4 linked regions of the Diceros bicornis minor genome follow. The protein of the gene in region 4 purifies or fractionates together with the protein of the main gene of each other region. This does not show direct contact. Links are inferred from orthologs where the notes say so. Each region holds a gene or a part of one and is shown on either strand. Other genes may lie near its edges. The genes, in order: WSB1, ASB2, PCMTD2 and CUL5.

The links.
Region 1: the proteins of CUL5 (region 4) and WSB1 purify together in Homo sapiens (affinity purification with mass spectrometry; 4 studies listed by BioGRID and IntAct, counting the BioPlex papers as one, with this or other methods). This does not show direct contact. The link is inferred for Diceros bicornis minor from reciprocal best matches to the Homo sapiens genes CUL5 and WSB1.
Region 2: the proteins of CUL5 (region 4) and ASB2 purify together in Homo sapiens (affinity purification with western blotting; 5 studies listed by BioGRID and IntAct, counting the BioPlex papers as one, with this or other methods). This does not show direct contact. The link is inferred for Diceros bicornis minor from reciprocal best matches to the Homo sapiens genes CUL5 and ASB2.
Region 3: the proteins of CUL5 (region 4) and PCMTD2 purify together in Homo sapiens (affinity purification with mass spectrometry; 4 studies listed by BioGRID and IntAct, counting the BioPlex papers as one, with this or other methods). This does not show direct contact. The link is inferred for Diceros bicornis minor from reciprocal best matches to the Homo sapiens genes CUL5 and PCMTD2.

The regions. Positions count from the first base shown.
Region 1 is NC_080757.1:20,206,745-20,214,232, forward strand, and holds the start of WSB1 (WD repeat and SOCS box-containing protein 1), read right to left. Parts: upstream 3,298-7,488; 5' UTR 3,030-3,297; coding exon 2,990-3,029; intron 1-2,989. UniProt on the Homo sapiens protein: Probable substrate-recognition component of a SCF-like ECS (Elongin-Cullin-SOCS-box protein) E3 ubiquitin ligase complex which mediates the ubiquitination and subsequent proteasomal degradation of target proteins.
Region 2 is NC_080763.1:39,509,664-39,516,924, reverse strand, and holds the start of ASB2 (ankyrin repeat and SOCS box protein 2), read left to right. Parts: upstream 1-3,984; coding exon 3,985-4,190; intron 4,191-7,261. UniProt on the Homo sapiens protein: Substrate-recognition component of a SCF-like ECS (Elongin-Cullin-SOCS-box protein) E3 ubiquitin-protein ligase complex which mediates the ubiquitination and subsequent proteasomal degradation of target proteins.
Region 3 is NC_080758.1:26,883-34,696, forward strand, and holds the start of PCMTD2 (protein-L-isoaspartate O-methyltransferase domain-containing protein 2), read right to left. Parts: upstream 3,040-7,814; 5' UTR 2,931-3,039; intron 2,298-2,930; exon of another isoform or gene 2,076-2,297; intron 2,066-2,075; exon of another isoform or gene 1-2,065. UniProt on the Homo sapiens protein: May act as a substrate recognition component of an ECS (Elongin BC-CUL5-SOCS-box protein) E3 ubiquitin ligase complex which mediates the ubiquitination and subsequent proteasomal degradation of target proteins.
Region 4 is NC_080746.1:27,791,441-27,799,036, forward strand, and holds the start of CUL5 (cullin-5), read right to left. Parts: upstream 3,383-7,596; 5' UTR 3,359-3,382; coding exon 3,132-3,358; intron 2,805-3,131; exon of another isoform or gene 2,644-2,804; intron 1-2,643. UniProt on the Homo sapiens protein: Core component of multiple cullin-5-RING E3 ubiquitin-protein ligase complexes (ECS complexes, also named CRL5 complexes), which mediate the ubiquitination and subsequent proteasomal degradation of target proteins.

The sequences.
Region 1 (7,488 bases), on a different chromosome or scaffold from region 4:
AAAACTGGTTCAAATAAAAGACCACAAAATAATAAGCTAATTCTTGACTAGACAGAAATTCAAGAAATGAGGCCACTATTTTAAAAACTGCCAAATAAATAGACGCTATACTGTGACAAGTATTGTACTAATAAGTACCTTGTGCTTCCTTGCTCGTTAGCAGGCATTTCAAATGATCTCTGCCTTTTTATCAAATGATTTCAGCACTCATGTAAATACTGACTGGTTACAATATTATAAACTAGGACAAGGTTTAAAATGAAGTGCTTTGAAAAAAAATTGTTATAAGTTAAACTTTTATTACATTACCTGCAACTGTTCAATGTTAGTATCCTACGAAACCTATGATTTAATGACCTTTGTATAAGGGAAAAGCTGCCTGCCCTTGGCAAATCAGCCACAAGATACAACGCTACATTATTAATACCTGTACAGTAGAAACACATCATCTGAGTCATTGCTGAACCAAGCAAACCAGATTTAGCTCCTTCTTCACATTCCTCCCTGCAATTTCATAACCAGAAAGGGAGGATCTGTGGTAGTGCCTCGTGAAAGAGGGCAGGAGCTCAGGGCAGTAACTCCTTGTCACCTAGATGTCTTTAATCATTCATGGAATTTTGCGTCTCCTCTTTCAATATGTACTTGAGAAACCAAACACCTATAATTAATACCCCAAAAAAGGGAAAAAGTCCGTTCTTTCTGATAGATACAAAGCTACACAGAGATATCTGTGTTTAACTTTGTATCCAAATGATACTCCAAAAAAGAAACAAAAAACTGAGGTTTAAAAAAAGGCTAGAAAAGGCCCAAGTTCCTTTAGATAGATATTTGGCAGTTAGCTAGTAACATTATACTACATACAGGAAATAACAATGAGACCTAAATATACAAAAATGTTTTTGTTTTTTTTTGTGAGGAAGATCAGCCCTGAGCTAACATCCATGCTAATCTTCCTCTTTTTTTTTTTGCTGAGGGAGACCAGCTCTGAGCTAACATCTATCGCCAATCCTCCTCCTTTTTTTTTTCCCCAAAGCCCCAGTAGATAGTTGTATGTCATAGCTGCACATCCTTCTAGTTGCTGTATGTGGGACGCGGCCTCAGCACGGCCGGAGAAGCGGTGCGTGGGTGTGCGCCCAGGATCCGAACCCGGGCTGCCAGTAGCAGAGCACGCGCATTTAACTGCTATGCCACAGGGCCAGCCCGAGCAACAATTTTTTAAAATTAAAAATAAAAAGGCTATTTGGATGGTTCTACCTTACTTAAGCATGCTCAGAAGCTCTATCCATCCCTTAGAAGAGAGGACTGGAGGGCCGGCTCCGCTACTGGCGGCCCAGGTTCGGATCCCGGTCTCGCACCGACACACCGCTTGTCCGGCCATGCTGAGGCCCTGTCCCACATACAGCAACTAGAAGGATGTGCAACTATGACATACAACTATCTACTGGGGCTTTGGGGAGAAAAAGGGGGAAAAAAAAAAAGGAGGAGGATTCGCAATAGATGTTAGCTCAGGGCTGATCTTCCTCACAAAAAAAAAAAAAAGGAGAAGTCTGGAAAGTTTTCAAAAAGATTCATCAAGATGAAGTAAAACAAAGATAAATGAAAGGCAGATCACTCACCTGTGATATCACATGCAGTAGGAAAAACAAAAACCCACTGGACTGAGAATAAGAACTTTTGAGTTCTACCTTCCACTTCAGGAAGTACTTACTAGTCTTCAACTACAGTTAAAATAAAAATTGGACATGAACTTTGTGTTCTCTGTATGTTTAAAAAAGTTATTAAAGCCAGAGTTAAAGTCCCCCCCTAACCAGCCATTCAACCTTATCCCTACAAGAACAAAAGTCCAGAATTCTAAGATAGCAGTCTCCAGATATAAAAATTCACCCACTCCAGGATAGAGGGCATTCTGGCTACTTTAGCTTCTCCCTTTCTCTAGAAATATCTCCTCCATGCATTTAGTAAAAGCACACATTTACTTGAAGAACAGGAAAATGCCAAGACTCTCTGCTCAGTAGCCACCTCAAATTTTCATTTAATGAACACAGTAATAAGTTCAGTGTTGGGTTGTCGTTTTTTTTTGGATCCTAAATCTATTTTATTTTTTTAAGTAAAAATTGTATATATTTAAGGTGTCTGACACCATGACTTGATCAGTTCAATGTTTCCTAAGCATAGCAATCAATACACAGCAGCCCCAACTACCCCAAAAGTCGTTCCAGTTATTTTACCTTAAAAGAAAGGATTTAAATAACGCGAGGTGCTTTCAACTGAGTCACTGAGTCGAGTTTGCTCTTCTGTACAACAGCTTTTCTTCTGTCACTCCACCCAACCACTCTGCTCCTCCCTCCTCCTATGTGTAGGAAAGATAATGCCGCGTCTCCTCCCCCGAACTGCTGCCTTTCTTACCGCCGTATCATTTTTTAAAATATTGCTTTTTCCAGGCTGATCGCACCTCTTCGTCGCATTTCTCCTTAAAGTGTGGTTGGTATCCATGAGGACCCCTCCTTTCCTTACAGCTCAGAACACACAAGTTTAGTCTTCCCATCGTAAACTTAACTGAGGGTCCCTGAGACTTGCTCAGCACCCCCCTGTCCACTCGATGCCCCAGCCGCTGAGCCACGAGAATGCCAGAATACTAGCTCGATGAGGAAACTGGGGTCCCCAGGGGTGCGTGTCCGCCCTGGCCTCATGGTCACTGGGGCCCTGGCCACTGGGCGCCCAGATCCCCGTCGACCCTGAGATCCGCGCACCGCTCCCCTCCGTGCAGGCGCACAGTAGGCGCTGCATCAGCGTCGATCCCACTCACCCCCGGCGACACCCACCCACCCGCGGGGCGCTTCCTTCCTCTCCGCTCCAGGGCTTGGCCCCGGCTCCCCCTCCTTCCCTCGGACTCAGAGACGCTTCCTCCCCAGCCTCCTCCGGGAGTCCCTGCCTCTCCGCAGCCCCCGCGCGCCCCCCAGCACCCCGCACCCACCGTCCCGTTCCTCACCGATCTCTTTTTCGTTGACCCTCGGGGGAAAGCTGGCCATCTATGGGGCACCGTCTGATTCCGGGGGCGCGATGCGGACGCAACGACAGAGAAGGGAACGGCGAGCGGAGAGGGGCGTGACGCGGGCTCGGTCCCTCCCGGTCCCGGGGACGGAGGGGAGGGGCGGGGGCGGTCGCGGCGGCCTCTGCCCACTGCCCCAGGAAAGTTCTCGAAGGCCTCGGACCAAACTACAGAGTCAAATACAGACAATAGACCCTGTTCCCTGCCTCACGCCTACGGACCAAGACACTTCCTTCCACGCTGTCGACGGCAAACCAGACACTAGAGACAAAATGGCGGGCGGAGCCGGTGATATCAGGGTGACGGGGCGGGGCTTGATGGCGTCACGGCCGAGGCCCCGCCTCCCGACGCTGGGGACGTGACGGCCTCGGCCCAGCGCCCCGCCCTCCCCCGGTGCGCGGGGGCGTTGTCTAGGGGGATCCGACCCCGAGAGCAGGAAGAGCGCGGAGGCGGGGGTGGAGGGGCTGCCGCCCAGCGCAGCGGGCGGAGGTCGGGACGTCGAGTAGGAGCCTACTGGCTGCGTTTAACTCGGGCTGGTTTTCCCGGCCGGGCCTCAGCATGGTATTTATAAGTTGAGTGCCTTTGAAAAGGCAGACAGACTCGTATAATACTTCTTAGCCCACAGCTTAAAGATTGCATGGAATTTAAACTGGCTGAACCGAAAAGAACACAAGAGACATTTCAGATTTTAACTCGATTTGGCCACCTCCCCAGACCGCATGTGCTAGGGAACTGGAGGTTGCACTGATGAAGAAGACGGGATGAGAATGAACACCGCTATGCACCACACGTGTGGCCGCGACTGTTCTAGCCGGTTTTAGGAAGGGCGGAGAGGACTGGGCATGATGGCGTCCCACCCCACCACGGGACCTCCCTGGGCTGCCTTTGTCCTGACTGGTTCCTCTGCTGGACCTGCCCTGGGGCTGCAGCGAGGTGGTCAGCGGTCTCCTGGCCGCTGGCCGAGGCAGACCCCACCGTGCCAGCTCAGAAGCGGCCCTTCCTGCACCCAAGGTCTAGGCCCCCGGGGGGCAGCTAGCTGTTCACACGGCAGGGCTGATAAATGTGTCAGTGTCTGCCAGAAGCCAAGTTGTTCCCGTTTACAGATGACATATTTGCATTTTCATGGGCCCTTCTTTGGACTCTAAATCTTATTCCAAAGGAGGACATTTAAGGCTGGGAATTTCAAATATGCGGCAGATACTGAGGGGAGAGGAGTTGCGTAGCCAAACTCTTGAGAGATGTCAAATGACAACACGTAGGGCATGTCTACTTCATCTTTTTCTTTGCCTGAGTGATAATAGTGAAATGTTTAATGGCCAATAATAAGAAATCATCCCCCCTCCTTATTAAAAAAAAATCACTTTGTTACATTCAGTTAACGTGTTTATTCACAGCTTACTCTGTGCCTGGCACTGGGGCTCGTTGCTGAGTATTTAGAGCAGAACAAAAGAAAATTTTTAATGCAGTCTTGTAGCTCATATACCAACATTTCTATCAGTCCCTGTTAATTCTTTTAACAAACTATTACTTGTGTTTACTTGCACTATACCATACAAATTCATGGAAAATACCAGTTCTTGAATGTCTGTGAATTATTTTGGTGCCTTTTTCATACAACTATTGAATTCCACAGTAGTTTACTCCTGCAAGCCAACAGACCTTCTGACCATTTTCTCAACTGGCAAAGTATGACAGTGGAATGAAAATAACTTTATGATTTGTGTACTCATTAGTGATAATATCTAGTGTTTATTGGGTCCATACTACATGCTAGACTCTGTTCATATAAGTTCTTTGGTGGATTAACCCATTTCATGCCCACAACAGTATAAGTGGTGTAATTAATCATTCATATTTTACACTTAGTAACTTGACAACAGTCACAGAGTTACTAAGTGGCAAGCGCTAGATTTGAACCTAGGCTTGTCCGACTGCCCTGCCCTACTTCCATGCTACCTTGTCTCTTATAAAGGAAACGTATCTTGAAAAGCAAATATATACTCGTCATTTCACATCTATGTTTGTTATTTTAACGTCAATCTGAATGGCCATCTTATCCCCTGCATATCCCATAAAGTTGGGGTTCTCCAGAGCTCTGTCCTTTGCCCACAGTTTTTTTCTTCTTTTTTCTCCTTGGGTTATGGCAACCTCTCTTGGGTTTAACTATCAGCCGGATGTGAAGACTCTCAAGTCCAGACCTGACTTCTCTCTTGAGCTTAAAAGTTACATATTTGAATACTTACAATAAAGCTCAACATGTCAAAACTGAGCACATCATCTTCTCTCCCAAACCTGCTCCATCTTTTATATTCCCTGCTCTAGTGAACATGTCCACCCACTCATCCAAGCCAGAGGCCAGTCTTCTTAGACTCCTCCTCCTCGCTCAACCACACATGAAATCCATCAGTCCACAAGCGCTGCCAGTATTTTCTCTTAAATTGTTCTGGAGTCTGTCCTGTCTGTTCCAGTTCAGCGGCCTTAGTTCAAGATCTTGTCATGTCTTCTCTCTTAACAATCCTTTATAACCCAGCACTCTGAGAAACCACCACCAGCGCGTTGGTGTAGTTCCTTCCAGTCTTTTTAAAATTTCCCAGCTGTGTGTCGTTCGGCAAGTTATTTAGCCTCCCTGTGCTTCAGTCTTCTCATCTATAAAACAGGGATAGTAATAATACCACCTTCACAGTTTTGAGGATAAGTGAGTTAATACAAGAAAAGCATTTAGAACAGGGTCTGACACAGAGTACTATGTAAGGGTTATACTATTTTTGTATATAGTAATCCAAGCTAACTGCAAAATTGAAAGATCAAAATCTCATAAAAATAAGGGATTGGCAAAGAGCCATAAAAATAGCATTAACTGTATGTATAATCAAAATAATAAAAGGTCTGGAAAGCGTTAATTTCCAAAACAAAGGTGATGCAACCACTAAAGACTCATTCTTTTGAATCTCATTCTTGAGTTACTCAGAAAACATTGCTGCTGTGTGGTTATTTGCTAAGGTCAATTTACTCATAATTTTTATGTGGATATTATCTCTTTCAAAATTTTTGAACCAACATTTACTATCTTGAAGTGGAAGTTTTTTTCTTTTTTTTAATTTGCATCCTCCTTTATTCCATTTTCTCCCATCTCAGCAAAAAGTTGTATCAACAGTCTGGCATTTTCATATAATTATACCACTTAAGGGTATGTTTTTTCTACACCATTTTCTTATACTGACAAGGAGGTACGTAAGCATAAAAGAGGGGGAGCAATAATTTCTACATTCTTTTGTTCAAGGAGAGTAAATATAATGATGCATATGTAAATAATTAGCATTTGAGTAGACGACAACATGAAAGTTGTATCTTGCCTTTTTGCTTTCATATTATAAAATCATATTTTTCTATGTTGATAAACACTTTTCACCACATCATTGTAGGTAAACTTAACTTCATTTGGAGGTGAACTTCTTCCTTTCCTCCCCTGGAATACATAATACTTAATAGTGCAGAAAGGTGGGTTTCTCCTGTAATTAACTTTTCATTACTCATATGGACATTGTGGGTAGATTTCTCTTGATGTCACGAATCTAACCAGTTCGCCATTGTGGCCTTTTGTGGGAGAATCCGTGTTCACCAAAAGTTAGAGCAATTCAAGTGGATTGCTGTTAAGATGTACATCCATATGGGTCTCTGAAGTTAACAGACGAGACTCTAAATAAGGATTCCTGGGACAGATTTCTTCAGAATCTTATTTCTAAACCTGTATCTTGGTGAGAGAAGAAAGTAAGTGTCCTCTTCCTATAACTAAAGGGAAGCAATATTTACTTAAAACAACAACCAAACATGACTAAGATAAAGGGAAAAAAATAACTTTTACAACAGGGGTTTGAAGCCCACCGAATATTTTATTGTTCCCTAACGTGGTTAAATCTCAAAGACGAAAAAGATTGCCATCATTCTTTGACTCTGTATTGACCAAGACCAAACAAACAAACAAAAGTTAGTAACAGCTTGGAAAGCCTGTATTGTTTAAGCAATAGGAGAGTTCCTTCTTTGCTTGTTTTTGCTTTTTGGACCTCTTGTTACTAAAACTACTCCAGCCTAAACCTTAGGCAAAGCATGAGAATTCATCCAGAATTATTCTGTGCTTGGGTGCGGGGTAGGAGTTTCAAATCATGGGATTTGTGGAGTTGAGTATGGTATTCTAGATTGAAGAGTGTGGAATTTGCTCAGGAGTCAACAAGATAAGCATAATTGATACACATAAACACGTGTATTAATAAACAGTAAGAGAAAATTGTGGAACATGCTGGAAAAATAATAGACCCCAGAGGAAAATTCTGGAGGCAACTCCTTTTGGCTGCGGTAGTCTTGCTGGGGATGAAGTGTCTAATAGTGCCCCAGCTTTTACCCTGCTTTCTGATTTTTCACTTTTCTTTCTGATTTCACATTTT
Region 2 (7,261 bases), on a different chromosome or scaffold from region 4:
TACAAGATGGCTGCTGCTGCTCCAAGCATCAAGTCCTCCAAGCACAAAGCAGGAGTGTGGGCACAGAGTCACTTCTTCACTGCTTTCTCTTTTATTAGGAAAGGGAAAGTCCTTCTTAGGAGACCCCAGCAGAATTTCCTTTATGTCTCTTCGGACAAAACTACGCTATATGTCCACTCCTAAACTAGTCACTGGCCAAGGGATAAGATTGTCCCAACTGACCATGGGAGAGAGCACACTGTTGCCTGAACAAAGCCAGGTTCTGCTGGCAGAGAAGATGGGGGAAATGGCTGTTGGGTGGGCCATCAAGAGGGTCTGCCACACCCTACCATATGGAGACATTTGGCCACCAGTGCAGTTGACTTTAACTGGGCATTCTCTTTGCATAAGACACTGGCCTTGGTGAAGAGGATCTTGGGTCATGTCCACACATGGACTACTGACCACAGCCCAGAGGGAGAAGTTCTAGCATCGAAACACTTCTTAGAAGAATCTGGGTAGGCTTCCCGGAAGAGGAAGCACTTGCTCTGGGCCTTGAGGGATGAGAAGGAGTTCTAAGAGTGCAGGAGGGAGGGAGATGTGTCAGGCACAGCCCAAGCAAGGGCACTGGAGTGGGAACCGCAGGCGGGTTGGGGGAAACGTGTGTCCCCGCCTTACCTGGAAGTCAGGTGTGTAAAGGAAGAGGGTGAAGGGAGGGCGAAGACTAGATTTCGAAGGGCAAAACCACTGTGGTATTTGGTAAATTGATGGTATTTGCTAAAGGAAAACATACACATTTGTTTAATGGTAACAACTCTCCTTTGCTATTTGCTAGGGCTTCATAGAGCAACAGTTGTTACTCTTAGGGTGGTAACAGGAATTGGAAAAAAGAATATCTACCAAGAGCTCGGTGTCAGGTGCCACCCCTCATCCCCTCCCCCCATGGCTGTCCCGCCTCTATTTGTACTTTATGGCTGGTCATTCTCCAAAGTGGTGGTTCCCGACCACCTGGGGGGCTCTTCAGAGAAGTATGATACCGGCCCCACTCCCAGAGATCCTGACTTAATTGGTCAGAGGTGGGGCCCAAACACTGATACTGTTTAGAGCTGATTTTATACACTTTTTAAGTAGCTATGTTTGCAGTATAGGTGCTCACAGAGAAGTCTACAAGCCAAACTTGAGCAGCTCCTGGGAGTCTCACAAAGGGAACCAACCAGCCGTGTAACGACTTAGTTCAAGAAACACAGCATGGGGACCAGCCCAGTGGTGTGGCGGTTAAGATCGCATGCTCCGCTTTGCTGGCCCAGGGTTTGCCGGTTCGGATCCTGGGCACAGACCGACGCACTGCTTATCAAGCCACGCTGTGGAGGCATCCCATATACAAAATAGAGGAAGGTGGGCACAGATGTTAGCTCAGGACCAATCTTGCTGAGCAAAAAGAGGAAGATTGGCAACGGATGTTAGCTCAGGGCCAAGCTTCCTCACCAAAAAGAGAAGCACAGCATGACCGGCTCCCTGGAATCTCCCTCCTGTCTCCCCTCAAAGGGAACCACTGTTCTGACTTCTATCAGCACAGTTTAGTTTTGCCTGTTCTTGAACTTTGTATAAATGGAATTGAGTATACATGTTCCTCATTATCTGACCTGCTCACTGTGGTTGGTGACATGCATCCTGTTGTGTGTAGTGGCTGTTTGTCACTTTCACTAGAGCATGCTAATCATCCCGTGAATACACCACAACGTAGTCATCCACGAGAGACATTGAGGAGTGTCCGTTTGGGTTTACCATGAATGGCGCCGTTATGATTCTTGAACTTACCCTTTGGTGAGCATATGTACACAATTCTTTTGGGCGTAGAGCTAAGGGTGGGCGCTTGGGTCACAGGGCATGTGCATGTTAGCTTTAGCGAATGCCATTCATTTTCCAAAGCGGTTTTACCGTTTCACACTCCTACCAACGGTGCTGAGCAGTCTGATCGCTCGCATCCTCCCCAGCTCTTTCTAGTTCCCGTCTTTTTCACTTGAGCCGTTCTGGTGGGTGTATAGTGGTATTGCGTGGGGGTCTTAATTTGAATTTCCCCCGGACACTTACGAAGTTAAGCGCCCTTCCATTTGGTTATTGGCCATTTGGATGTCCTCTTTGTGAAGTACTTGGCCGAATCTTTGGGGTATCAGTTAACTAGAGCCACAGGAATGCTACATAAAAAGCACCCCAAATAACCATCTACTCTTGTGCTTTGGGTCTGCAAGACTGCAGACAGGCTAATCGAGGCCAGCCCAGGCTGCTCTGCTCAGCTTCGGGCTGCAGGCCCTGCCGGGTGGGGCTCCTCTGTGCAAGCTGGACTCTGTGAACTGCCCCAGGGGGGTTTACTCCGGGGTGCAGCTAAAGGGCAGTGGCTGCAGGAGGAGCTCTGCTCTGGCGATGACGGGAAAGCCAGCCCCACTGCACAAGCCCATGTCAAGTGGCTGCTTTGTCATGTCCACCAACAGTTACCGGCCGGAGCAAGTCACAAGGCCAAGTCTAATCTCAGTGAGTAAGGGGGCGGGGCACTCTGCCTCCAGGGGGAAGGGGTGAATATTTGCCGAACAAACCAAATTATAGCACTGACATTTTGGATATATATATATATTTTTTGGTGAGGAAGATTAGCCCTAAGCTAACATCTGTTGCCAATCCTCCTCTTTTTGCTGAGGAAGACTGACCCTGGGCTAACATCCGTGCCCATCTTCCTCTACTGTATATGGGACGCCGCCACAGCATGGCTTGATGAGTGGTGCATAGGTCCGCACCCAGGATCCGAACCTGCAAACCCTGGGCCACCAAAGTGGAGCATGCAAACTTGACCACTACACCACTGGGCCAGACCCACATTTTGGATATTTTTAAAAAGACCTCATATGATTGTAATGTTCAGCCAGGGCTAAGAACCATTGACCTATAGTCACATCATGTGTCAGCTTAGTTGAGGAAAAGAAAATCAGGCTTAGTTGATTTCCTAAGAGCAGTTGATTCAACCAAAGTCCGTTTCTCCTTGAGGCATTTTTTTTTTTTTTCCAGAAGAGAGTCCCTGGAATTAACATGGCAAATTATTTTAATAATTGATTTTAACTAGGTCATGCAATCTTAAGTAGCGGGCCTGTGTCCGATTCATCTCTAGTATTCTCAGCCCTAGGACAGTGCAGAGAAATGGAGAAGTGCCGGGACAGATGGGATGTTGTCGGATAATTAGAAGGGAGGAATGTAAGCACCATTGTGTAAGCTCCAGGAGGGCAGAGATTTTTGTCTGTTGGGATCATTGTTGTATCATAGCGCTTGGAAGAGTGCCTGACACAAAATAGGTGCTCAATAAATAATCTCTCATTTAATGATGCATGCATACACGTATAGATAGGCCGTGTGGATTGGAAAAATGAATTGTGGATGGTTTGTTGGATAGATAAATGTATAGATGGATGGATGGGAGGATGGGTGGATAAATGGAAGCATAGATGGGCAGATAGATCAGAGGATGGATAATGGAGGAATGGGTGGATGGTTAGATGATAGATACGTGAGTGGCTGGCTAGGAGCGTGGATGGTTGAATGGATGGATGATTAGATAGTTGGATAAATGGATGGATAAGTGGACAGATGGGAGGGTGGATGGATATATGAGTGGCTGGATAGACAGACGGATGCATGGGAGGATGAATAAATGGACAGATGGGTGGCTGGTTGGATGGATGGTTAGATAGGTGGGTGGACTGGTGAATAGATGAGTGGATGGGTGGATGGATATGTAGATGAATGGGTGGTTGACTTGATCATATGACAAAATAAATGGATAAAAAATGATTGCGTGATTGCCAGAAGAGAGCACAGCCTTCCCCGTGGGTAAACATAGCTATGTTGCAAAACTGTTAGTGACCAGGATGGTTTTGGTCTCCTCACAGGGTTTTCTGATTTGCAGTTTCCTCCTCCCCTCTGAGTGTCTCTCCTGGAGGCTGGGCTGAGAAGTGGAGGAGGATGGCCACTGAGATCCGTGCTCGGGGCGGACAGCGTACCATTGGGCACGAGGAGTACAGCCTGTACAGCAGCCTGAGTGAGGATGAGCTGGTCCAGATGGCCATCGAGCAGAGCCTGGATGACAAGACTCGGGGCCCTGCCACTGCTGAAGCCACTGTGTCCACACGTGCCAATCGCCAACCTGCCCATTTCTACCCATGGACCAGGTGAGCGAGGAGAAACCAGCTGGGTCATCCATCAGGTGCAGATCCCAAACACTGTTAATCCAAGGCCAAATTATCGTGATCTCTAGGCTGCACTTTAACACCTTAATGACTTACATTTGTTATCTGAACGTACTGAGCTCTGATGGTGCCAAGTGCTGTGTGCTAATCCTGTTAAGGACCTTCTAGGAGGCTCTATGCTATATTCCCATTTTACAGATGAGGAAACTGAAGCTCAGGGCTGAGTAACTAGTTCAAGGTCACACAGCTAGTAGATGGTGTTGCAGAGATTGGAACTATCTGGGTCCAAAGCCCGTGGCTTGGCCTGCACAGCTGACTCAATGTTTGAATACAGTAAAACCAATGTTCTGAGTCTGACCAGAGCTTCCAACCCCGTCTATGCAGCCTCTCTGGGACAACACATCTGAGAAGCAAACGACAGCTACCCAGCAGAGCCATCCTGCCTCCTTGTTCTGGCTCCCCCATCTCAGCATGACCATCCCAGATGCAGGACCATCTAGAGCAGCACCACGTCGCGCCAATAGAAATACGGCGTGAGCCACAACTGCGGCGACACTTATGCAGCTGTGAACATCCTAGTAGCCACATTACAAAGTAAAGAGGAAGAGGGGAAATTAATTTGTGTCTAAAATATTATCATTTCCACACATCACCGATATAAAAATTGTGAAGGAGATTTTCACATTCTTTTTTACATGTCAAGGCTTTGGAATCCACTGTGTATTTTGCACTCACAGCGCCTCTCCATTCAGACTAGCCACATCTCAAGGGCTCACTAGCCATATGTGGCCAGTGGCTGCCGTACTGGACAGCACAGACCTAGAGGACACCTTCTCTGTAGGAGGTGGAGCCAGAGAGGTAATTAGGTCTTGGATCTTAAAATGCTTTTAGAAAAGAAATATACACATTTTAAAAATGTTTCTGCTCACCAGTGAGTCCAAGTCAAGTGTGTATTTTGGGGTTGGTGGAAGGGGCTTGGGAATTGCTGTGACAGTTGTGTTGGTGTTACCTTGGGGCATGGGCCTCAAATCTCATTGTCTCCAGCAGCCAGCTGACTCCCTGTGTGACCTTGGGCAAGTCACTTAACCTCTCTGAATCTCAGCTTCCTTCTCTAATAATAATAATAGTAACAACAGCAGCAACAATAAATAGACTTTTTCCAATGTCCAGTCCCAGTTGACAGGGATGAAGGTGGGTGACAGTCCGTCTCAGCCCTGATGAAACCTACCAGGGCGCTTCCCAGGTGACTTTGGCCCTTACTGAGGCTGGACCACCTCTGCCGGGCAGGCTGGGCAAAGGCCTGGGAGGCCCAGCCCTGAGGAGCTCCTTCTAAAGGGGAAGGCAGGCAGCCTCCTCGGGCAGCTGGAGGGAGTGTGAGGCTCCAGGTTACTGAGCTGCCCCAGAGGACGCCCCATTCTGCGACCCAACCAGAAAAACAGGAGCCCAGAGCCGAGGACTCCTCATGGGGGTGCTCTCGGAGGCCTTGGTTCCTGTTCTGGCCAGTTCAGCCAGAGTCAGACCACAGGTTCCCCTTTCTCAGTAGGGCATCAGATAGAGAGAGAGCACCCTCCCACCTACTGGGCCTGCAGCACAAGCCGGCACGTCCCGGGGCGTCTGCAGCCTTCTCCCCAGCATGGGGGCCCCACCCAGGTGTCCCAGGGACACTTAACATCCTTAGAACTGAAGGGGCTCTTGAGGTTGGGTCCTGACCCCCTCCTTCCTCTAGAGGGTAGGGAAGCAGAGACCCACTGTGGGACATAAACGTTCACCCAGTCTCCTAAAAAAAAAGCTCTCACAGAGGGGCTGGCCCGGTGGCGCAGCGGTTAAGTTCACACTTTCCGCTTTGGTGGCCTGGGGCTTGCGGGTTCAGATCCTGGGTGTGGGCCTACTCACCGCTCATCGAGCCAGGCTGAGGCGGTGTCCCACATAGAAGAACTAGAAGGACGTACAACTAGGATATACAACTATGTACTAGGGGCTTTGGGGAGGAAAAAAACCTCTCACAGAGAAGTGAAATGACTTAGCCAAGGTCAAGTGGCCCTCACCTAAGATCCAGGCACAAGTAATGTAGGGGAGAAGGATTCGGCCTTCATCTCACCCTTGATGTGACCTCAAACCTCCTAGGTTTGGTTCTGCCCCTTTGTCTCTGGAAGGAGGCTGGGCTTGGGCCCTGCTGGGGAAGTAAATCCCTTTACTCTGATTTTTGTGTGTGCTTGTGTGAGGAGGACTAGCCCTGAGCTAACATCTGATGCCAGTCCTCCTCTTTTTGCTGAGGAAGATTGGCCCTGGGCTAACACCTGTGCCCATCTTCCTCTACTTTATGTGAGACGCCGCCACAGCATGGCTTGACAGGTGGTGCGTTGGTGCGCACCTGGGATCCAAACCTGCGAACCCCGGGCCTCCAAAGCAGAGTGCACACACTTAACCGGTGCACCACCGGGCGGGCCCCCATTACTCTGACTTTTAACGTAATTCTCCTCCTCCTGCCCTGAATGCACACTGAGTGCTTCCCACGTGCCTGGCACACAGCCATTCAGTGATCCTTACGAAAGCCACACAAGCTGGATATTTCTGTGCCCGCTTTACATATGACAAAACATGCGCACAGTAGGACCAGGAACTGAACCACAGTCTGGCCTGATCTGAAGTTCAGACGTGTCACCAGCTCTGCCGATTCTGCAAAAGCCTCTTCTGTTTCCTCTCCCTCCTCCACCTTGAAGTGGGGTCGGTCTCACTACACCCGCCTCCCACCCACAGAGACTCAGGGTCCCCAGAGACATGAGACACACAGGCTTGTGCCTGACACCAGACAGGGCATCACAGTACGTGCAGGACCCGACAGAGTCCTTGTTTGCTTCTATCCCTGAATGTCACAGTTTCCATCCAAATAGACTCAGAGCAGGTGTAGGAACAGGATGTCACACATGTCCCCAGAGGTCCCACATGGTTGGCTCCTTCTCATCCTTCAGGTCTCAGATGAACTGTCACCTCTGCAGCAAACCCTGCCTGACCACCCTCCCAGGTCAAGTAGGTCGCCCCTCTTATCCCTCTCT
Region 3 (7,814 bases), on a different chromosome or scaffold from region 4:
CTCCCATTTTAAGTTGTTGTTTCAGAGTCCTTGTGAGATTATGGTCCATGGACAGTTAATTTAGCTGGGTGGGAAAAAGCACTAACGAGGTCAAGTTTAATCTTGGATAAGCCACGTAGTTCTGACGCTCAAGTCTACATCCCTGGTCTAGGACAGTCATCTTAAAATTTGGGTCACTGGTTAAAAGTGGAGTTGTGTTTGGCTGCCTCACCATCTATTTAGGAAAAAGCCGACAACCACGTATCTATACTCCACGGTGGATCTGAAACCCATCTCTTCCCCCAGAAGCCTGTATACAATCTTCTGTCCTTCCGTCTCAATACCATCATTCTATCTTCAGAAGGCAGACACAAACTTGATACTGGACACGTTTCATTTTCTACTGAGTACCTTTCACTTACTTTCCACTTTGCCTCACTTTGAAAGTTTATGACACATGCAAAGGCTAGCTTTTTGCAAAAATAGCTACAACTTTTTTACAGGCACCACCTGCCAGTCACAACTTCATTTTGGCTTCACAACGTTATGAGGCAAATTTGGACAGAGCAGTCATTTTGCTCATGATCACACACCAACGTGTGAGGAGAAGGCTGGAATTCAAACACAGGACTATCTGGCCAAAGGCCTATTTTCTTTACCCAACAGCAAATGCAGCTTTTAAAAATTCTCAAGGGAGCAACATTCTTTACCATATAACACATTGATCATCTTTGTCCCAAATGACAGACTAAATAACTATGGGGTAACCCTATCTGTTGCCACTGCTAGGATGCATGTGACCATCTGCAGGGTCTAACACATATTAACTTTGCCTGGTAATCTAACACTACCTCACACTGGAAATAACCACTGCTTAGTACTGACCACCGATGTGCTCAGTCAAGCCACCAAAAACACCAATAACAGGTTCAAAGTTACCCTCGCCAAACCAAACCTAGATCTATAATCCCATCAAATCCAATTTTTCAAAGCAATGGCAGATCATTGTTTGGACGCTGCACTTGATTGATTATACTTTGCAATCCTTAATATAATTCACTACTCACAGTAACTGATCACAGCCTAACAGGACAACCTCCTTCCAAAACTGACTGCCAGGGTGCAGTGAGGAAGATGGCTGGGCAGCAGCAGCCATGGAAAGGTCTCATGATTGACAGCTAATGAGGCTGTGACTATGGCCGGGTCAAGACAACATGAAGCTGTGATAATGGGGGTCACCATTCCAGTCTACGCTGGGTTTGTCAGATTATACATGGAGGGCCATGCTCCAACCTGAATGTCACTTCTCAAGAATATGGACAAAGTAATTCACGTGGAAGATGAGCTGGGGCGGACCCAAAACCACTCCTTCCGCAGAGTAATGGAAGAAACTGAGACTTCTTGTCTTGAAACCCAGAACTCTTACAAGGAATGCAAAGGGATATTTTCAAAATACTTGAAAGGCTGCCATGTATACACTGTTCACGGGCCTGATAATGCCAGACCAATGGAACACTTGTTGGGTGGAGACAGTTTATACTAAACACACACAAAAGCTTTCTGACAACTGGAGTTGCAAACAGACACGTTCTCAGAACATGGAGTCCCCCAACCCCAGGGATGTCCCCAGACAGGTACAACCAGGGCTTGGTCCAGGAGCTGAACCCCATCACCTCTGAGACTCCCTCTCTCCCCGAGTGTATGTCTCTATTTCCCCCAAGCACTGCCACAAGTTCTGAGCTGTTTATAGGAACCTGACTTCACTAGTTCTTGAATGACAGTCTATTCAACACGCAGTGCGGAGTTCTTTACTTCAGCCACTCCTTTGCCAAAAAGAACAAAGAAAACGCATACAGGCACACGAGTAAAGGGCGGAGGCAGCGAGTGAGACGACTCTTCTGAGGTTTGATGCTGGAGCAAACATCAACTTGAGAGCCACATCCCTTTGCAAAAACAAACAAAACACAGACACCAAGCCCGGGTAAGTTTTCCTTCCCCAACCACTCCTCCAGTCCAGTCCCAGCGCTCTGCACCAATTCTTAGTAGCCCCAAAACTTGGGGGGGGGGGGCAACTGTTTTTAAATAGACTTTGTCACCTTCCATAAAGGTCCAAGGTAGAATCTGTGTTAAATCTCGATGACTCCTGACTTGCCTTAGGACTAACTGCAAACCTTTCCCACTTAGTAAGTTAGAGACTAGGTGCGCATCGGAGAGTTAAGTAGATCCAAGGGTGCAGGCACCAGTGAGGGGGCAGACCTCGGGACCCCCATACCCAAGCGCCGGCGGGCAAACCGCTGGGCGCAGCCCGAGACTCCCCTCCGGGGAAGGGGACAGGGGAGGGGGGGAAGGGAGACAGACTTCCGCGATGGGGGAGATGCCGCGGGGGGGGGGGGCGACAAGGGGACTGGACGCGGTGGGTAGGGGAAAGCTGGGGTGAAGACGCGGAGGGAACACAGGAGTAGGAAGAGATGGAAGGATACGGGGGAGACCGGGGTGGGGGGAGGGGAGGAGGAGGGGGAGGGGGGACGGGAGGGGGAGGGGGGAAGGAGGGGGAGGGGGGACGGGAGGGGGAGGGGGGAAGGAGGGGGAGGGGGAAGGAGGGGGAGGGGACGCCAGTGGAGAAGCGGAGAGGACGGCCCAGGGGGAGAGGATGCCCCCGGGGGAAGGGAGAGGACGGCCCCGGGGGAGGGGACGCCAGCGGAGAGGAGGGGGGGAGGACGGCCCCAGGGGAGGGGACGCCCGCGGGGGAGAGAAGAGAACGGCCCCTGGGGGAGGGTTGAGAACGGCCCAGGGGAGGGGAAGGGAGGACACCCGGGAGGGAGGGGAGAGGACGGCCCCGGAGGAGGGGAGGGGAGGACACCGCGAGGGAGGGGACGGCCCCTGGGGAGGGGGCGCCCGCGGGGTATGGGGGCAGCTGGTGAGGAGCGCGGGGCGGAGGGCGGCGGCTCTACCTAGGGCTTGGCCGGCGCGGGGTCGAGCACTGCCCGGCCTGCAGCTCCTTGCCCCTCGCCCGTCGCCGCCGCTCCGCTCCGACCTCCGCCGCCGTAAACACCCGCCACCCCACTGCGCCTGCGTGCGCGAGGGCTCCCACTACGCGTGCGCCACGGTCCGGAGCTTAAAGCGGCAACGGTGCCGTGGCTGGGCCCCGCCCGCGCTCTCTGCCCAAGTCCTCCGGGCCGGACCGCTGATCGCACTCTGCGGGGAATGGGGGGGCGGGGGGGGCGGTCAAAGGGCAGCCACAGGTGAGAATTGTTACGTCCGGGCCTCACCGCGAACCAGTACTTGGCTGTGAGCCGGCTAAGCAGGGCCCCTTCTCTGGAAATGACATTCCAGGGAGGGGCTGACAGGGGAGGAGGGAGTGAAAACACGGGGTGACTGACGGACTGAACTGCGGTGGTGGCTTGGGGACCACGGAAGAGACATCCGAGCTAAGATCTCGGGATCTCCGGGGAGACAAGAAGGAGGCAGCCCTGTGCAGAGAGCAGAATGGGGGGAACCCCTGCCGGCCGAGGAGGCAGAGCCCGTCGCCACCTCCCACTGTTACTGCCCAAAAAGGGGGTTCGTCTGGCCGCCACAAGACATACCAATAGTCAAGACGCAAGGAGGTAGGAGAAAAAGGACTTTTTATTACAGCTTGCTAGCAAGAGGGAAGGTGGCCGTGTCACGTCTCGAAGAGCCATCTTCAGGAGGCAGAAGATCTTACAGCAGTTATATAGGCCATTGAGTTACAGGGGAGAGGGTTAGGAATGTTGACCCCAGGGTGTTATAGACTGGGAGTGGCCACACCAGATCTTTCAGTTTTCACTGATGATGGCTATCAGCACAGACTCTCTCTTCAGGAGTTATCACATTCCTAAGGAACTCAAAAGAACATAGTTATCCTCTTATGGCAGCTGGGAGGTACATGCACAAGCAGGGGTGGTAAAATCTACAGAGCAGTTAGATCTCCTGGAGGGTGCAGATCGAGCTGGGCTAGTTAGTCGGAGGTCATTCAAAGTTACAACAGGGTTTCTCTTCTACAGTATGGTTTCCCTCATGTCAACCTTGTCTTGAGCCGGTATCACCACCCCTGCGCCTGCACAGACCTTCTCCTCTCCGCGCGGTTGGAGGGACCTGGTCTAAGCTCCCCGCAAAGTGAGCCGAGAACCAGTGTTTCTTCTTGTCTGGCTGGTTTGCATAGGAGTCTCCATGATGGCAACTGGAGACATCCCAGCTGACACAAAGACTGGGAAACCTCTTGGTTCACGGGACACTGGGTGGAGCACACAGAAGGATCTTGCCTTGGTAGTGAAGATAATTAGCCCACACTGGTTACTGCTCAGACCCCACTAAACAAGTCAAAGAAGGACTTGAAACTGCTTCCTAGTAACTGTGTCCCAGAACAAAGCTCAGGAATATTTGTAAGAATACAAAATATAACACTCAATAAGGTAAAATTCACGATGTCTGGCTTCCAATCTAAAATTGTCAGGCATACAAAGAAGGAGGAAAATACAATTCATAATAAGGAGAAAAATCAATCAGTTGAGACTAACTAGCCCCTCCCACACCCATGAAGGTCCCGTTTCAGAAAACCCTGGCGACCAAGATAACTGAGCACTTGAGTGACCCTGCCTCCAGTCTCCATGTCGTAGTTCCTGCCCTTATGATTCAAGTTTGCCAGTAATGAGTGACCCCATGAAACCCAGACATCCCATCCTCAGACCCTAATAAGCGCAGGGCGCCCCCCGCCCAACAACCTCACTGTGTGGCCCTTGGATACGCCAGGGACCCTCCAGGACTTGTGAGTAGTAAGTCTTGTTCCTCAGAGTTCCCTCATGGTTTTTGCTAAAGTGCATCCTGCGATCATAATAAGAACCATGAGGGCCGGCCCAGCCACAACACTGGCCCCAGTAGTGGGGTGGGAGGGAATGTTTGTGGGGCTTACTGCAAGTAGTACAGGCCCTGGAAAGTGCCTCAGGCATTCCTAGCCTAGAGCATCACCATCACTAGGGGGGGGTACCGACACAACAAAGAGCAAATTAAATCCAAAATGAACAGAAGAAAAGAAATAATAAAAATTAGAGCAGAAATCAATGAAACTGAAAACAAGAAATCAATAAGGAAAATTAATGAAACCAACAGCTGGTTCTCTGAAAATAATGGTAAAATTGATAAACCTCCAGCCCTAATACCAAAACCAGACAAAGACATTACAAGAAAGGGAAAGTATAAACCAATATCACTCATAAACATAGATGCAAAAATCCTCAACAAAATATTAACAAATTGAATCCAACAATACATAAAAAGAATTACATACCACAGTCAAGTGGGATTTATTCCAGGTGTGCCAAGCTAGTTCGACATTCAAAAATCAATCAGTGAAATCCATCATCACATCAACAGGCTAAAGAAAAAAATCATATAATCTTATCAATAGATGGAAAAAAAGCATTTGACAACATCCAGCTCCTATTCATGATAAAAACTCTCAGCAAACTAGGAATAGAGGGGAACTTTCTCAACTTGATAAACATCTACAAAAAGCCCACAGCTAACATCATACTTAATGGTGAGAAGCTATATGCTTTCCCACAAGATCAGGAATAAGGCAAGGATGTTCTCTCTCACTACTCCCATTCAAGATTGTACTAGAAGATCTGGCTAATCCAATAAAATATGAAAAGGGAGGGGGGAAGGTATACATATTTGGAAGGAAGAAATAAAACTCTTTGTTCATACAGCAACTAGAGGGATGTGCAACTATGACGTACAACTATCTACTGGGGATTTGGGGGAAAAAAAAAGGAGGAGGATTGGCAATAGATCAGCTCAGAGCCAGTCTTCCTCAGCAAAAAGAGGAGGATTAGCATGGATGTTAGCTCAGGGCTGATCTTCCTCACAAAAAAAAAAAAATTAAAAAAAAAAAAACCTCTTTGTTCACAGATGACAAGATTGTCTATACAGCATATACCCAAGAATCTATAAAAAATAAGTAAATAAACTCCTGGAACTAATAGTCAAGTTTAACAAGGTTGCAGGATACAAAGTTAAAATTCAAAAATCAAAGCTTTCCTATATACCAGCGATGAACAATTGGAATTTGAAATTAAAAACACAACACTGCTTACATCAGTACCAAAAAAATGAAATACTTAGGTATAAATCTAACCAAAAAAGTATAAGATCTATGAGAAAACTACAAACCTCTGATGAAAGAAATCAAAGATCTAAATAAATTGACAGATATTCCCAACTTTATCTGTAGATTCAATGCAATTTCAATTAAATCCTAGCAAGTTATTTGTGGATATCAACAAACTGATTCTAAAGTTTATATGGAGGGGGAAAAGACCCAGAAAAGTCAACACAATGGTGAAGCAGAAGAACAAAGTTGGAGGACTGACACCACCTAATTTCAAGATTTACTATAAAGTTCCAGTAATCAAGACAGCGTGGTATTGGTGAAAGACAGACAAATAGATCAATGGAACAGAATAGAGAGCCCAGAAATAGACCCACATAAATATAAGCAACTGTTCTTTGACAAAGGAGCAAATCAATTCAATGGAGAAAGGGTAGTCTTTTCAACAAATGGTACTGGAACAACTGGAGATCCACATGTACAAAAATGAATCTAGACACAAACCTCTCCATTTTCACACAAAAGTTCTAGAAGATAACATCGAAGAAAATCTAGGTAACCTTGGACTTGGCAATGTTGTTTTACATACAACATCAAACACATGATTCATTAAGGAAAAAATTGGTAAGGTGGATTTCATTAAATTTACATTTTTCCCGTCTGTGAAAGACACTATCGAGAGAATGAAAAGACAAGCCACAGATTGAGAGAAAATATTCACAAAACACTTATCTGATAAAAGACTTGTATTCAAAATATACAAAGAACTCTTAAAACTCAACAATAAAAAAAACAAAACAACTCACAATGCCCTGGACAGGTGTCTCAGCAAGAAGATATACAAATGGCAAGTAAGCATACGAAAAGATGCTCCACATCTCATGTCGTCAGGGAAATGCAAAGAAAACACCAGTGAAATACCGTACACACCTATTAGAATGGCCAAAATCCAGAACACTGAGAACACCAAATGCTGGTGAGGATGTGGAGCAACAGGAACTCTCATTCACTGCCAGTAGGAATGCAAAATAGTACAGTCACTCTGGAAGACAGTTTGGTGGTTTCTTACAAAACTACATAGACTCTTACCATACGATCCAGCAGTTGCACTCCTTGGTATTTACCCAAATGACATGAAAACTACGTCCACACAAAAAACCTGCAGACAGATGTTTATAGCAGCTTTGTTTGTAATTGCCAAAATTTGGAAGCAACTAAGATATCCTTTAATAGGTGAAATGGGCATACAAACTGTGGTATATTCAGACGATGGACTGTAAATCTGATAAAAAGAATTGAGCTATCAAGCCATAAAAAGACACGAAGGAACCTTATATGTTTATTGCTAAAGGAAAGAAACCAGTCTGAAAAGGCTACATACTGTATGATTCCAACAATATGACATTTTGGGAAAGGCAAAACTGTAGAAAGAGTAGATCTAAGATTAGTGGCTGTCAGGGATGAGGGTAGGGGAGAGAGAGGGACAAATAAGTGGAACACAGAGGACTTTCAGGGCAGTGAAACTATTCCGTGTGATACATAATGGTGGATACATGACACATGCATTGTCAAAACCTACAGAATGTACATCAGGAATGAACCCTGGTATAAACTATGGACTTTTTAATTAATAATGTATCAATATTGGTACATCAATTGTAACAACGTACCACACTAATGCAAGATGTTAATAATAGGGGAAACTGTG
Region 4 (7,596 bases):
GATTGCTAGTTTCCCCCCAATGCCCACAATGCCAAATCCCTCTTCCTTTCTTCCTGGGCACATGGTGGCCCTGTCTAAGTATGGCCTTGTAATTAATTTCTCCTCAATGAATTGCGAGTAGAAGTGATCTGCACCACATTGGCCTTACTTGCTTAAAAGGAACATTGCTTGATTTAGATTTTTTCTTTTCCTTTCCCTTGAGCTGGCACACAGTGTGCCTGCAACCCAGCTTTGTCCACGCAGATGATGAAAATGTTCTAGGGATGGCAGAAAAATAAGAGGGAAGATACCTGAACGATGGTCTGGAGCAGAGCCACTCCAACAACTTGGACCACTGACCTTGAGACTGTTACACAAGAGAGAAACAAACTTCTATCTTTAATGAAGGCACTGTAATTTTGAGTCTCCTCAATACAGCAATTTAACATTTAACTTCATTAAAACATAGTGTTAATAATAAAAACTTGACATTTGAGTTTTATATTACAATTTACAATATGCTCACATACACATTACTTTTCTAAACCTTCACTTTGATTTTGTTCCTTTTTATTTTTTGCAAGTATTGTCTACTAGCACATGTTAATCTAAGATCAAAAACTAAGTCTTTATTTGTCAATTACACCTCAATATAGCTGGAGAAAAAAGAAAACTAAGGCTAATTATGGTCATAATTATCAGTTCACTACTTTGTTGTTCTGTAACATATTTGTTTATGCTTTCAAGCTACAATTTGGGCTGTCTAAAGTAGGTTCCTTTTTGTTAGTTTATATATTACCACCAAGAAACCTCCAAATATAATATTTCCAACAAATTCCTAATGGTGTGATTATAACTAATGACAGGAATATATCTTCATGAACTATAGTACCTTTCTATGACATAAATGTGCAAGGATGTCTATTATTCAAAATAAGTATCTGTATTTTCTTGGAGAAAGATACAGAATGATTTAACAGTAATTGTTTTAAATGCAATTTTATGGAAAAACACATTCTGCTAAAGGGGAGAAAAGCAAGTACATATTTGGAGGTAGCTACTGAAATATGTATGTATTTATGAATACTTCTTTGGTAAAGAGCCAAACAAAATAAAGTATGACTCATTGTCAGTAAACATTCCCTAAATGTCCTTGCATTATTATGGGAGAATGACTGTCTGGTTTTAATAATGTATATAAAATGAATTACTATTTACATTCTTCTTAAAGGCATTAAAAAACAATGATCTATTTAGCAGAAAGGTCTTTAAAATCTACCAAATTAATTATCCTTTACTTTCTTGCCAATCAGTTTAGGAGCTACTTTTAAAGAAAGAATTATTAGATACAATAAGATTTTACTACCTGTATTTCTTGTAGTTGCAATTCACAATAGCTGCTAGAAGTTTAAGGCATAAAGAACATGTTTTTATTATATTTATGTCAGAAGGTAGAGCAAGAGCTATTAGTAAATGCTTTTTTTCTGCCTTTTTTATGACCATGGACTGTCTTAAAGTTCATCTCTGATTGAGATCACAAGTGAAGGAATTTGCCATCAACTTCAGAATGGTAAAACTGCAAGAAATATTAGAGACGATGATGACTCCTTCATTTTACAGATGAGGAATCAGAAGTTTGAAGAGTTATTTTAATTAAAGGAGGCTTCTTGAAAAAAAATTCTTCAGAATTCTAGGTATTGTACAATTCAAATCAATAACCTTAAACATCTCTCTGAAGGGCTGGCCTTACCGTATGTCCACTTCATACACAGGAAAACTAAGGTAAAAGCAAGCTAAGCAGTTCACTTATCATCTCTGTGAATCGGTGTCACAGCTGGGAATGGAAGCCTAAACTTTAAATGTTGGAACATTCTCAGAAGTAGGCTGATCTCACTCGGAACAGATGCTGGCTGGGGTGAGGGGAAGCCACGTTTGGGAAGTCCCGTCATGGAGTACTGGATTTCACAAGCAGAGTACTTGCTGAAGATTGCAAAATGCTTGCTTAAATGAATTCCAAATGATAATGCAATCTTAAAAAACCTCCAAACAGTACAATATATCCCATTCCCTACCTTCCTCTAAAAAAAAGTGTCCTTGAATTCTAGAAATTGGAATTGTGCTTTATATCTGGTTCAATCTTAAATATCCAGGAAATGCATAAGATTTACATTTAGTTTTTACTTATGTAACATGAGTCGCCTTTGTGAAATCTTTCCTTCAGGGTCTCAATGAACATTTAGAATGAAACTATTCATTTGGATCCCTCCTTCTCTATTTAGAAATGTATTTTCTGATCTATTATCACCCTGGAACGTTAAGTACCCATTATAAAATAAAGGAAAAGTTCCTGACAAATCTCAGTATAATCTCTCTTTTCCCCACCAAAGCACCAATGACGACAAACTTCTAAAGACACCACAACCCTTAGAAAACAAAACAAAACAAACCCTCAGCTGTGTCAGTGACCCTGATGTTACATCCAGTTGCTGAACAAGACACATTCCCACGGGTCCTAGCCCAGTATTTGTGATGACCACATTCGGCGCTATGAGGTGTTCAAACCATTACCGCATCCATCTCCCTCTGAACCATGCCCAATGAGATCATGCAGTAACCTGGGTTGGAGCACTGCTTGCTGTGAAGCTAAAGGGATCAATCACGAACCTGGAAACGCTACTTTTGCAGTTCTCCCGGGCCGCATAGTAGGAAGCCGTTTGGTTAGGGGAAGAAGAGGGGAGCTTGGAGGTGGGTGGCCAGGTCAGGGGGTGCGCATCGAGGGACGCTGAGTTTGGGGAGAAGGCAGAGGGGAGCCGAAGAGCTGGGGATCAAAATACCAGCAGGGGCAGAGAGAGCTGGGGAAGAGGGGGCCGGCGAGGGTGACCCCGGCTCAGGCGGGAAGGAAAGACGGAAAGGGGGCGCAGGAAATGGGCGCCAAAGAAAGAAGTGAGAAATTGCGGAGGAGGAAGTCGTCCCTGGAAGAGGAGGGGCAAAGGGGAAGCGAGAATGGAGTGTCTGCACTTTAGAGAGGGGGGGGCCGGAGCCTCTCCCGACCAGGGCTGGTGCGGCTGGCGCTTGGGGAAGGGGCGCCCGGGCGGACGGAGGGGGCGACGCGGTCCCTGGGGTCCCCGAGGTCCCGGGGGTGGCGGCCCTACCTGAACCGCTCCTGTCCCGCCGTGTCCCAGAGCTGCAGCTTGATCCTCTTGCCCGGCTCGATCTCCAGCAGGCGGGAGAAGAAGTCCACGCCGACGGTGGGGTCGCAGGCGGGGGAGCGCAGCCCGGGAAAGCGGCCCTGGGTGAAGCGGTGCAGGAGGCACGACTTGCCCACGGTGGAGTCCCCGATCACGATGAGGCGGAACTGGTAGATCCAGATGGTCTCCATCGCTCACGTGCCCCGCCGACTCGCTGGCTGCCCCACCCGCCCTCCCACCGCGGGGCAAGTTCTGCGGCGGGAACTGTCCGTTCAGCACCTCCCGGGCGCCCGCCGGTCGGCTTCCAGCATATTCCTGCGGCTGCGGCCGCCGCCTAGTCCCCGCCCTCTCTGGAGGGAGAGGCGGGGCCCGGCCGGGGCGGGGGCGGGGCCTCGGGCCAGGGGGCGGGGCGGGGCCGCCGCGCGAGGGAGGGGGAAACAGGCTCGCAGCGCACAGACTCCCGCCCCCGACCTCTGTAAATCACTCTCCCTCAAAGCTCACTGGGCGTGGACGGGAAAGCGGGTGTGGTGAAAGGACGTGACGGCAGCAAGAACCAATGAAAATGAAGCAAGGTCTCACCTCTGGGAGGGTCAGCCAATGAAAAGTGAGAATCGTTTCCTTACAGGCTTCAGGGCGGGCTCGTCAGATTCAGGCTCTGATTTTGGAAGTCGCAGAGGCCATAAGGTGGGTCACTGCTCTTGCTTCTTTCATCAGTTTGATCAGCTTTGTGACTACTGTTACCTTCTACGTTTCTGAAGATTCCAGTTGGCCGTTTCCTGCTCTCTAGCCTTGCTGAGCGCCACCTTCGAGGCGTTCTAAGGTGAAGGAGTTGAGAGCAGGATGGAAAAAAAATTTGCAGAGCAAATTCTGGATGCTTCTAGCAAGGGTTTTGGCCATTGTTCCTGGCACCACCAGCTGTTCCTCAGTGCTTTCAGTACCACAGAAGAGTGAGAAAAATGCCAAGTAGTCATCTCCGTACTCTCAGGCGCCCTCCAGCCTGGAGAAAGGAGAAAAAAAGTGAAATATTGAGATGCTTATGAAAGCTCCCATTCTTCTTGTCTCAGTTCTATAAATCGGAAAAATCCTAAAGTGGTCTCTATTTAGCTTGTGTCTGGTCAGGGATCTAAATAAACAAAGCACACCTGAATTCTGGTGAGATCTTACTATATTCTAATGCCTTTCTTCAAACTAGATAATAGTGAATTCAAGATTTAATTTTTAAAACTTAAACAGTTTTTAAAGTGTATTTTTGACAAAATAGAATTTTCAACAATTCCACTTTTTTTCATGCCCACATCCAAACTTATGCTATCGTTATTAATCCTTACTTCCTTTCTTGTTTTGGAGGAAGAGGTTTCACTTTGAAGGGTGTTTTTAATCCCCTGCCACCCATCTTCTTTGAGCTTTTTTTCCAACGTTGATGTTTATTTCATACCATTTATATCTTAAAAGTCCTCTCTCCAATTGTTTCTACTCCTCAGCCTGTAAACATGCTCAAGTATCCACAATCCTAAAACCAAACAAAACATCTCTCTATTATGCCTCCTCTTTAGAATTTTGCTTCCTCCATTATTCTCCTTTTCAAACGTTTGGAAAGAACCACCTATTCTCATTTCTCAACCATCAGTTAGTCTTCAACAGTCCTCTCCATGCCTAATATACCCCTGAAATTGCTTTAGATAACGTTGCCAGGGACTTCTAAACATCACCCCGTTCCCCATTATCTATCTTTAGTTAGCAAGTTTCTTGACCTCCCTGTAGTTTTGTTGAATATACTCTGTTGCTGAAAGCTGATTGGCTGACCCAATCACAGTCCTATCCACAGTCCTCTTTCTTCTAGTCCTCCTCCACCTATGGATGAGCAAGTGTGGGAGTTCTGACCAATGAGACAGAAGTAGGGCTTCTGGTAAAGCTTTTGCTTTTCTGATAAGGGACTGGCACTCCTAGTGCCCTTCACCCTTTCTCCTTTTCTTTTCCTTTCTACCTGAAAGATGTTAACAACCATCTTGTGACATAAAAATGAAGGATAGATGCTAAAGATGGTGGTAGGAGAGAAAGGAAGAGCCTGAGTCCCTGATGGACTTGTTGATCTGTTGTACTAGCTCTGAACATCTTGTTTGAAACAAATCAATACCTGTTTAAGCGACTGGTGGTTGGATTTTCTATAAATACAACCTGAATACTCTTATTTCTTGTCTTCTACAAAAGCATTGTCTCCTGGTTTCCTGTACTTTTGAACCTTCTTCACTGACTCCTCTTTCGGTGATCCATTTCTTAAGCACTGAAGTTCCTAAGAGATCCATCTATCCTCTTTCCCCTTTCTCCTTTTTTTCCTTCACTTGGAGCTGTTTCTGGTGACCTCATCTACTCCACTGACTTCAGTTACTCCTTTACCCAAACCATGTGTCCTCTCCCCAACCTCTGCTCTGTCTTCAGACCCACATTTCCAACTATCTCTCTTTTTAGATGTTGGATACACATTTCAGACTCAGTACATCTGTGCTGGTTAAGATTCTTTGAAACAAACTCCAGTTAGGGTGATATGAAAAGATGAGTGCACTTATCATAAGGATATAGGGAGAAATTTTACAGAATTCATAGGCAGGAATACAGCTGGTATCAGACAGGGATTGGAACCAGGGAAGGGAAAGCTGTAAGGAACGCAGGCAGCATATGTCTCTGTCTTTTTCATATCTACTTCCTTCTAACATCTGCTTAATTCTTATCTCTCTGCAAACCAGCTTTCTCTGCTGCTTAGTCCGTACGGAAGACTATATTTGCTGCAGATCCCGTATTAGATATCTAGACACATATGGAGACCGATGTCCGTTTCTCTGTAGAGACGATCTAGTTGGCCCAGTTGGAACAGGTGTTCATACCAAAGAGATATGGTCTGTGGGACAGGAACCTGCAGCAGGCCAATCCCTTTGGATGGGGTATATGGGGTATTAGCAGGCCTGGAGAAATGATGCGTCAATGGCTTCCCTTTGTGTCAAAAATATATTCTCTATAATGTCCAAAAATTAACTCAATGGCTTTCTTGCCTTGTTTTCTCGTCCTATATTTTACAGGTTGGTTAATGGTTTTAGTATCTATTCTAGCTCCCTAGACAAGTGAGAGCTTGTGGTGCTGGATCTGGAAGCTGGGAGTTTGTGCTGGGTATGGAGGAGGGATAGAATTGGTCTAAAGGCATCAGAATGTAGAGCTAAGGATAACCTGAGAGATAGCATCCAGGACAGAACTAAAATGGAAAGGAAAGTAGGTAGGTCAACTGAAGCCTCTTAAAGAGACTGGGTAGAAGGAGCAGAATATAGCTGTGAGCCAACAGAATAGAAATTGGGGAATCCAGCCCAAAGAAAGGTTTGAATGGGAAGTCAGAAGCATAGCTTGGTTAGATACCATTAGCCAGAGGAAAAGGCATGGGACTTTTTATAAGGTCCCTAGTCTCAGAAGAGATCTGGTGAGGATACTAAGGTAGTTTAGACAGTACATTTAGTTGATTAAAATGGAATAAAAACCTTGTCCATCTTGGACTTGTCCCTCTCCTTTGGCATACTCAGCCAATCACTAAATCTTGTTGCTTTTACCTCAGCAATATCTTTCAGATTTATGATTTTCTGAACTCCCCACTGTCGTTGTCTGTTCAATCTCTTATCACTTTAGACTGTACTGCTCAATAGCCTCTGCATTAGTTTCCTAGGGCTGCTGTAACAAAGTACCATAAATGGAGTGGCTTAAAATAATAGAAATTTATTGTCTCACAGTTCTGGAGGCTGGAAGTCCGAAATCAAGGTGTTGACAGAGTTGGTTCTTCCTGATGGCTGTGAGGGAGAATCTGTTCCATGCCTCTCTCCTAGCTTCTGGTGTTCCATGCCTCTCTCCTAGCTTCTGCTGGCAATCTTTGGTGTTCCTTGGATTGTAGATGTATCACTCCAGTCCTTCACCTTCACATGGCATTTTTCCTGTGTCTCTTCACATAGTCTTCCCTCTGTATATGTCTGTGTCTGTGTCCAAATTGCCCTTTTATACCAGTCATACTGGATTAGGGCCCACCTTAATGACCTCATCTTAACTTGATCATCTGCAAATATAGTTTCCAAATAAGGCACAGTCTGAAGTACTGAAGGTTAGGACTTCAACATATCTTTTTTGGGGGGTACAATTCAACCTATAACAGTCTCCCGTTTAGTTTCTATATTGCTTCCAGAATTACTTTATTAAACACCTTTGATGACTTATTCACCCTAGGAAAAAGTCTAAATACCTAATCATGTCATGCATGACCAATCATAATATGACATGGGTGATCTAGTCAGTGATTCCTCTACAAGACATGCTATTCATGCTATATGTATATTTTTCATGCTATTCTCTCCTCTCCTTATACCCCTTTCACCCATCATTTGGTAGCAAATTCCTATTCATCTTT